Linked DNA regions of Struthio camelus. The protein of the gene in region 1 interacts with the protein of each later gene in a biochemical or structural test. Links are inferred from orthologs where the notes say so. Each region holds a gene or a part of one and is shown in the gene's direction. Other genes may lie near its edges. The genes, in order: EYA2 and SIX1.

Evidence for each region.
Region 2: the proteins of EYA2 (region 1) and SIX1 form a complex in vitro, tested with the Homo sapiens proteins (2 studies listed by IntAct, with this or other methods). The link is inferred for Struthio camelus from reciprocal best matches to the Homo sapiens genes EYA2 and SIX1.

The regions. Positions count from the first base shown.
Region 1 is NC_090959.1:8,470,587-8,474,488, forward strand, and holds the start of EYA2 (eyes absent homolog 2), read left to right. Parts: upstream 1-1,579; 5' UTR 1,580-1,632; coding exon 1,633-1,697; intron 1,698-3,902. UniProt on the Homo sapiens protein: Functions both as protein phosphatase and as transcriptional coactivator for SIX1, and probably also for SIX2, SIX4 and SIX5.
Region 2 is NC_090946.1:77,109,082-77,112,983, forward strand, and holds the start of SIX1 (homeobox protein SIX1), read left to right. Parts: upstream 1-1,360; 5' UTR 1,361-1,398; coding exon 1,399-1,958; intron 1,959-3,284; coding exon 3,285-3,573; 3' UTR 3,574-3,902. UniProt on the Homo sapiens protein: Transcription factor that is involved in the regulation of cell proliferation, apoptosis and embryonic development. Plays an important role in the development of several organs, including kidney, muscle and inner ear.

The DNA.
Region 1 (3,902 bases):
AGGGGGAAATTTTTTGAGACAGGTCCTAAGGACATAGGTGCTTGCTTATACTCAAGAGGCTCCTCACCAAAAGGCAGATTACAGTTAAGGGCAGCAAGGAAGTCCTAGAACCACCAAGCACTCTCTCCCGGTTTAACGTGAGAGCGGTGTAAATTCAGAACTGCAGATAATCCGCGGGGAAATCACAGGGTTAGTGCTGAGAACTGATGGGGAATAACAACTGAAAGAGCTTTGGTTTTCCTAGGCCGGCGGGAGGTAGCTCATGCTAGGAAGTTTGCCAGCTCTGGACTGATGCTAGGAGCTTTGTCTCCTTTGGACTGTAGGAACACACTTTGCAGTCAAACTGATCTGAGAGGTTTTGATAGTAAAAACAGCTGTCTAGTTGCAATGATGTTTTTGTTCCATTGTCAAAATTTTGAGTTAAATCCATGAGTGGGCTGCAGCTTGTTCAAGCCCTGAACTCAACACCCTTTCTGCTCCTTTGGCTTTTCCCTTCCCCTGCAATTCGTAGGGTATTGCTGTCCAGGAGAAAGGTGAGGTGAGGTATAATAAAACCCCCTGGGGTGCCGACGCACTGGTCTCCTCAGATGCTTCCCTGCTTTCGGGGAGACAAGCAGAGAAGCTGCAATTGGGCTCAAATTGGTGACAGACGGAAGTCCCACTCTGGGTGCCTGTACCAGAGGGGTCTCAGGTCTTGAGTGGACACGGGAGATGGAGCACCTCTGTGTCCCTGAGTCCTGGCGCCCTTGACGGTATTGCAGACCAAAGCAAGGTGGCACCAGGGGTTTTCTGGTCCGGAGACGTGTGAGCGTCCACACTTGTGAGTGTGGAGGGACGGCTCACGTGAGAACAGGGATTTCTGTGCGTTTGCAGGACCCAGCCTGAACGCACCCAGCAGCAACTCTGCGGTGCGGTGCGCGTCAAAGGAAACGGTCACAAAAAAGCATTCTTTGTTTAAACTAACATTTACAAATTGTCACTAGGTGGTCAAGAGACTATTAACGCAAAGACTGCGGAGTCTCTGCGGAAGCAGGATGCGTCCGCAGCGGAGCGGAGCCCGTGGCTGAGACGGTACGCGGATGCCAAGGCTGTAAGCCGCAAACAGCTTTTCAAAACAGCGTAGCGTGAGCGCTTCGGAAGGTAGCGCTGCGGCGGGGAGGACAAAAGCGCGCCCGGAGAGCGCCCGCTATCACGTGGAGGCGCGGGCCGGCCGCGGCTATAAGCGGCGGCGGAGCGGCCGCGGGTGCGCGGCGGCGGCTCCCGGCTCGCAGCGGGGCGCGCCTCCGGCCGCGGCTGCCGGCGCCGCGCCCGCGGAAGCCCCTCCTTCTCCTCCTCCTTCCCCCCCCCTCCGCGGCCGCGCAGTGCGGCGGGGCGGCACGGCGGCACCGCGCGAGCGGTAGGTGCGCGGCGGGGCGGGGGGCTGTGCTCGCTCCTGCGGAAGCAACAGGTCGCGTTACGCGGTTCCAAGCCGCCCGCGCGGGCCGGAGCGGCCCCTGCGCGCGCCGCGCTGCCCCGCGGAGAGGCGCGCTGCCGGCACGGCGCGGAGGGGGGAGGCCGGGCGAGCCCCCGGCGCAGCGCGGAGCCGCCGCCCCGCTCCGCTCCTTTCCGCGGGCATGCGCGCCTGCCTCGCACATGCTCACTGCGCCCGCAGCGGGCGCGCACACTCCGCAGCGCCGCGGCTCTGCGCTGCACCTCCGGTGAGTAGGGGCGCGGGGGCACGGCGCGGCTCGCCCTGCGCGGGGGCGCTGGCATACGCGGCTAATCCTCTCGACTGCTCTGTCCGCGCCCGCGGAGGGGGCCCGGCGGCTGCGGGCGAGCTGTGCAGCTGGGATCTGCTCGCCCGCGGTAGCGGAAAGTGCGAAACCGCCTCCCCGCGCGGAGCGGGGCGCTGGCCCCGGCGGAGGGCGGCGGGCGCGGGGCCGGCTGCGGCGCGGGGCTGCAGCCCTGGGTTCGCGGTGTGGTCTCGGGGCACGGCGTGGCGTTTAACTCGGCCCTCAAACTAGCCGCGTTGCGTTTAATAATTGTTCCGCTGACTTAAGCGCGCGTTTAAATAAAAGGAGTTAATGCGCTTTTTTGCATTTGCTCGTATGAGGGAAAACTTCTAGTGATTTATACGCTTTAAGTGAACTTATTGAGTGTTAAATTATGATTGAGCCCAGCGACTGGCCTCTGAAGGAAATTATTCGTGGTATACAGCTGCTGTTTTTAGATTTTTCAAATTATATGTTCTTTTGGATGAAATTTTAATCGTTAAAATATATACGGTTGACCAATAAACAGTTTATTGGTCTACATGAAACTTACTAACAGACATTTTATTCAGTGTAATATCAAATGCACCTATCCCTTAACGCTGCTAATGTCAATGGCAGGAATAGTTTACTGTTTAATCTTTCTCCTGGACTTTGTAACTTTGAGAATTTCCCGTCTCTGGAGCGCTCTCCATAGAGAGCTTTTCCCCCAATACTTTGGGAAACCGTGTCTAACTTCTGCCTGCTTACAGCTGCGTGTATTTGAGCTGTCTGGTCCCCCAAAGATAGCATATATTTAACATAGTTGTTCTGCGTTTAAATGAATGGTTCTTAACTCCTTTATATGTCTCTCATTGCGTTGTTGCTTGTCTATTAGAGGTTGTTGGATGCAGGATAAGCTTTCTTCTTTTCTTCTTTGGCTTATATCAACCTTTACTTTTTCTTAAAGCTGGTCTTTTTTTTATCTGCTCTGATATTGAAGGCATCATGTGGCCTTAAATGTTACATGTGCAGATAGGAAAGGGTACAAATACCCTGAAAATAATTAGAGCTTGCAGCTTTGGAAACATTCCAAAGTCTCTTTAAGCATGTTTTGAAAATTCATGTGAAATGACATTGCAGTTGATAACTTGATTTAATTATTTTCTCTTCAAAAAACAATTTCTTGCCGTTTGAGTCAAAATTAAATTGTAAAGTTAAGAGTCAAGTTGTCCATGCGATTCTCTTGCCTCTTCCTCTCAGAGCCCCCCCACCCCCCAAAAATTTCAGAGCAGTTTGCTAAATAGCAAGCTTTGTATTTGTTTGGTTTTAGGCTCACCGTTTTGTTTTGCTTTGTTTAGCCCACTCTCCACAGCGCTGCTTTTTTTTTTTTTTTAAGTGCTACATAGAGACTTGGTTCCCATGACTCGCAAATCGTATCACCAGTGTTTGGTTGAAATGTTTAAATGTTTGAAATGGGCTGTTGCTTCAAATCTTACGACTTTGGCAGTCTTAAATTTCATTAAAAGAGCTTCCTTAGGAAGAACAACATTGATAATTCCCCCTCCAACAGTAACATCCGTATTCAGCTACGTGATGCGTGTGGGTATACCTTGATTATATGAAGGAATTAAGCTCAGGTACTCATGTTAAGAACAAGATGTCAGAATATCACTTAAAGAATTCCCCTTGTGTTGCTGTTTTGTAGCTCTTAGGTGATTGAACAAGTTATATTTTTCTGAAAATTAAATAGTTTAACTATTAATTCTGCAAAAATTAAGTGGATATTTAACTTCAAGCTTGTAAGGAGTCCCCCTGAAGTCAGTGTGGCTGTATTTGTGTGATCAGTGTGCATATATGCATACTCTTGGCAAAAAACAATTAAATAAGTTAGTAGTCTTCTACTATCTTCCCAACTATTTATGACATGTAGTAGTACAACAGCTATTCTAAAATCAGTTATAATTATCTTCAGTAAGATTTGTTTCTTCTGTGCCAAGCTTTGTAGCGAGCAGATGGTTTTAAGGTGTCTTCAGCTGGAGAACAGGCAAGAACACTGCTGAAGACTAATTACTCTTTGCAGGAAATCTCTTCTGCGATAAGTTCACACGTCGTTAGACTTAATCTGTGGAAACGATTGCTAATATGACTTGTGCAGTAAAAAAATGCTTT
Region 2 (3,902 bases), on another chromosome or scaffold:
AGCGGGGCAGAGGCGTCGGGCACCGCGAGCGGCTCGGAGCCGCTCTCCGCCTCGGCCACAAATGGGCTGCTCTTCACTTTAAGCATTTAAAGTCAAACAAATCAAAACGTATTTAGTGAGGACAAACAGGTTTTAAAGAGCCCTGCGATTGTTATTAGCACCCACTAAGTGAACTCGTTCTTTAATCAAAAGCGTTCTGAAGTGCGCTTAAAATACTGGTTGCTACTTATCTAATCAAAGATAAATACAGTCATAAAGACACCCTCTTCCCACCATTCCCTTGCCCTTATCTCAGCGCATTGTCCTCATCTCTCAACCCGTCCTGGCTACTGACAATAGATTATCTTTGCTTAGGGAGGCTAATTGTTTTCTAATTTTTTAAATAATGGCTTTCGAGCGAGGTGTGCAAATGAGGATTAGGGTAATTAAAGCGCCGCCGGTCGGTGCGGTTTTGCTACCCGGCGCACGCACGGCTTCCTCGGGGCGAGCCGGCGAAAGGCTCCTCGCCGACCTGCCGCGCCCGCGCTGCCGGGCCCGGGGCGCCGGGGCCCGCCGGGATCCCGCCTGGCTCCGCGGGGCAGAGCCGGGGCCGGGCAGGGGGCCGGGGTGGGGGCAGGACGACCGGCCCCGCTCCGCGCTCCCGCAGCGGGCTGCGCCTCCGCGCTGTTACTCAGCGTGCTGCATACGCTATTCATCAAGCCATTATTTATTCATCCCCAACATTAAGGTAATTAAATATGGGCTCGCATGGAACGAGCCGATCCGAGGAGGACAGGGAGCGGGCGTAGGGGGTGGGGGATTAGGAAAAACAGAAAGGAAGAAAGAAAAGAAGAAGTCCGCCAGGAGCGTGTGTGTGTGTGTGTGTGTGTGTTTTTCTTTTTTTTTTTTTTTTCCTCCCAGAGATGCGCCCGTAGCAGTCAGCGGGGCTCCCCCCGCGGCCGCACCCGCACCCGCGCAGAGGCGGCGGCGGGAAGCGCAGCCGCGGCGGCCGGGGCCGGGGCCGGGACCGCGCCGCCAGGCCCCGCCCGCCCGTGCCGAGGCTCTGCCCGCCGGGCCGGGCTGGGCCGGGCTGGGCCGGGCCGGGCCGGGCCCGCCGCGGCGGGGGCCGAGCCGCGGGCGCCCAATCAGCGCGGCGCGGGGGCTCGGGCGCTTTAAGCGCGGCGGCGGCGGAGCGGGGACAAAGTCCCCCCGGCGCCGCGCCGAGCATCCCCGCTCGCCTGGCCGCTGCGCCGCCCGCCCCCGGCTGCTCCGCGCCTCCCCGCTCGGCGCACGGGAAAGGGCCCGGCGGGCGGCTGCCTGCGCGCTCCGCGCAGCGGCCATCGCGTCGCGCGCGGTGCCCCTCGCCCGCCGCCGCCTTCCCCGCGCCCCGCCGGCCGTGCCCGGCGCGGAGCCCTGGCCATGTCGATGCTGCCTTCCTTTGGCTTCACGCAGGAGCAGGTCGCCTGCGTCTGCGAAGTGCTGCAGCAAGGGGGGAACCTGGAGAGGCTCGGCCGGTTCCTCTGGTCGCTGCCGGCCTGCGACCACCTGCACAAGAACGAGAGCGTCCTCAAGGCCAAGGCGGTGGTGGCTTTCCACCGGGGCAACTTCCGCGAGCTCTACAAGATCCTGGAGAGCCACCAGTTCTCGCCCCACAACCACCCCAAGCTGCAGCAGCTCTGGCTCAAGGCGCACTACGTGGAAGCCGAGAAGCTGCGGGGACGGCCCCTGGGCGCCGTGGGCAAGTACCGCGTGCGCCGAAAATTCCCGCTGCCGCGCACCATCTGGGACGGCGAGGAGACCAGCTACTGCTTCAAGGAGAAGTCGCGGGGCGTGCTGCGGGAGTGGTACGCGCACAACCCCTACCCGTCGCCCCGCGAGAAGCGGGAGCTGGCGGAAGCCACCGGCCTCACCACCACCCAGGTCAGCAACTGGTTCAAGAACAGGAGGCAGCGGGACCGAGCGGCGGAGGCGAAGGAAAGGTACTTTTGCCTGGAGGTCGCAACCGCCCCCCCCCCTCCCCGACCCCGCACCCCTTCCTTCTCCCGGCCCCGCGGCGGGGTGGCAGGCGGAGGTCGGGCGCGGGGGGCAGCGCGGCGAGCCCGAGCCCGGCGCAGGCAGCGCGGCTGCCCGGCCGCCGCGGGGTGCCGGCCCGGCCCAGGGCAGCTCGGGCGGGCCCTTGCTCGGCTCCTGCTCCGCGCCGCGCTGCAGCCGGCCGGGCAGCGCCAGGCTGAGGCAGCGGAGCGAGCCGCGTAAATACCTCGCTGCCTCCGCATCGCTTTTTTAAACATGTATTTTATTTTTTTCTGCCGCGGATAACTGCGTGTCGCTTCCCCCTGCAAACGCGCTGCGCGGAGGGGAGCCGCGGCGCTGGCACCGGGGTGCTTTCCGCGCTTGGCGGCAGGAGGAGGCGGGGGGAGCGAGCGGCCCCGGCCCCACCTGCCCGGGGGCAGCGAGCCCCTCACCGGCCTCTCCAGGCCGCTCCGCCGCCCCCGCCTTTTGTTTGGTGCCTTCCGCCCCGGGCGGGCGGGCAGCGGCGCGGCCGCAGCCGGCGGGGGAAGCGCGGGTGGCGGCCCCGGCCCCGAGGGAGCCGGAGCCGGGGCTCTCCTCGGCCGGGCACGGCGCGGGGGCGGCCCCGAGGCCGGGGGGAGCGGCGCCACGGGCGGGCGAGGGCAGGATGCGGCGGGAGTCCGGGCTGGGACCCGCTGGCCGGGCTCCCCTCGGGGCCGCGGCCCGGCTCAGCCCGCTGCCGCCTCTGCCCCGGAGCCAGGCCGCTGGCCGGGCCCGGCAGCCGGAGCGGTGGCCTCGGCCCCAGCACGCATCGTCCCTGGTTTTGTGTCCCCGCTAGGAGCCTTCCCACCTCCCCCATTTTCGGAGAAAACCTTTCCGAGTCCCTCCAAGCGCTGAGTGCGTTTCTGGGCCTCGGAGCCATGCTTTAAGTTGTAATTTAATTAAAAGGAGAGGGGGGAAAAAATTTGTAATCCCCCCTCACCACTCAACCTTCCCCCCTCACCTAAATTAACAGGCACTTCGGTTTACATGATGGGGCGCAGCTGTCTAAATAGGGGGCCAAGAACGGCAGCTGCGGGGACGATCCGTTATTAAAATATTAGACGCTTTTTTTTTAATGTTGCTTGGGGAGAGGCTTCTGCTAGCACAGTAAAACCAAACCCACGGGCTCCGCCGGGGGCCTGAGCGCCGCGGCGGCCGCGTCCCCCCCCCCCCCGCCGCTGGCGCGGCCGCGGCCCGGGCGCCTCCCGCCGCTGCCCCGCGGTAACGGCCCCGCTGTTTATTTCTGCCTTCCGCAGGGAGAACACGGAAAACAACAACGCGGCCACCAACAAGCCGAACCAGCTGTCGCCCTTGGACGGGAGCAAACCCCTCATGTCCAGCTCGGAGGAAGAGTTTTCGCCGCCGCAGAGCCCCGATCAGAACTCGGTCCTCCTGCTGCAGGGCAACCTCGGCCACGCCAGGAGCTCCGGCTACGCCCTGGGCGGCCTCGCCGCCTCGCAGACCGCGCACAGCCTCCAAGGGCACCAGCTCCAGGACTCGCTGCTGGGACCCCTCACGTCCAGCCTGGTGGATCTGGGCTCCTAAAGGGGCCGCGGCGGCCGGAGCGATGGCAGAGGAGGCTTACCTCGGGGATAGAGACCCTCGGTTGTACATAGCGGACAGCACACGGTTTTACAGCTTACCCGGTGATTCTCGACGGGACTCCCGGCTCTTCTCATACGTCCCCACATCGGCTCCTGGGCCAGTCCGTCCCCGCCCCAGCGTCTCCCACTAGCACCATTATTTTTTTTCCACGTAGCCAAACGCAGAGAGCGGCAGAAACCCTCTTCCTTTCGAGTTCAAACGAGCTGGTCCCAGCGGGAATTACAAAAATAAAAAATAAAAAAGAAAAAAAAACCCCAAACCACCACCAA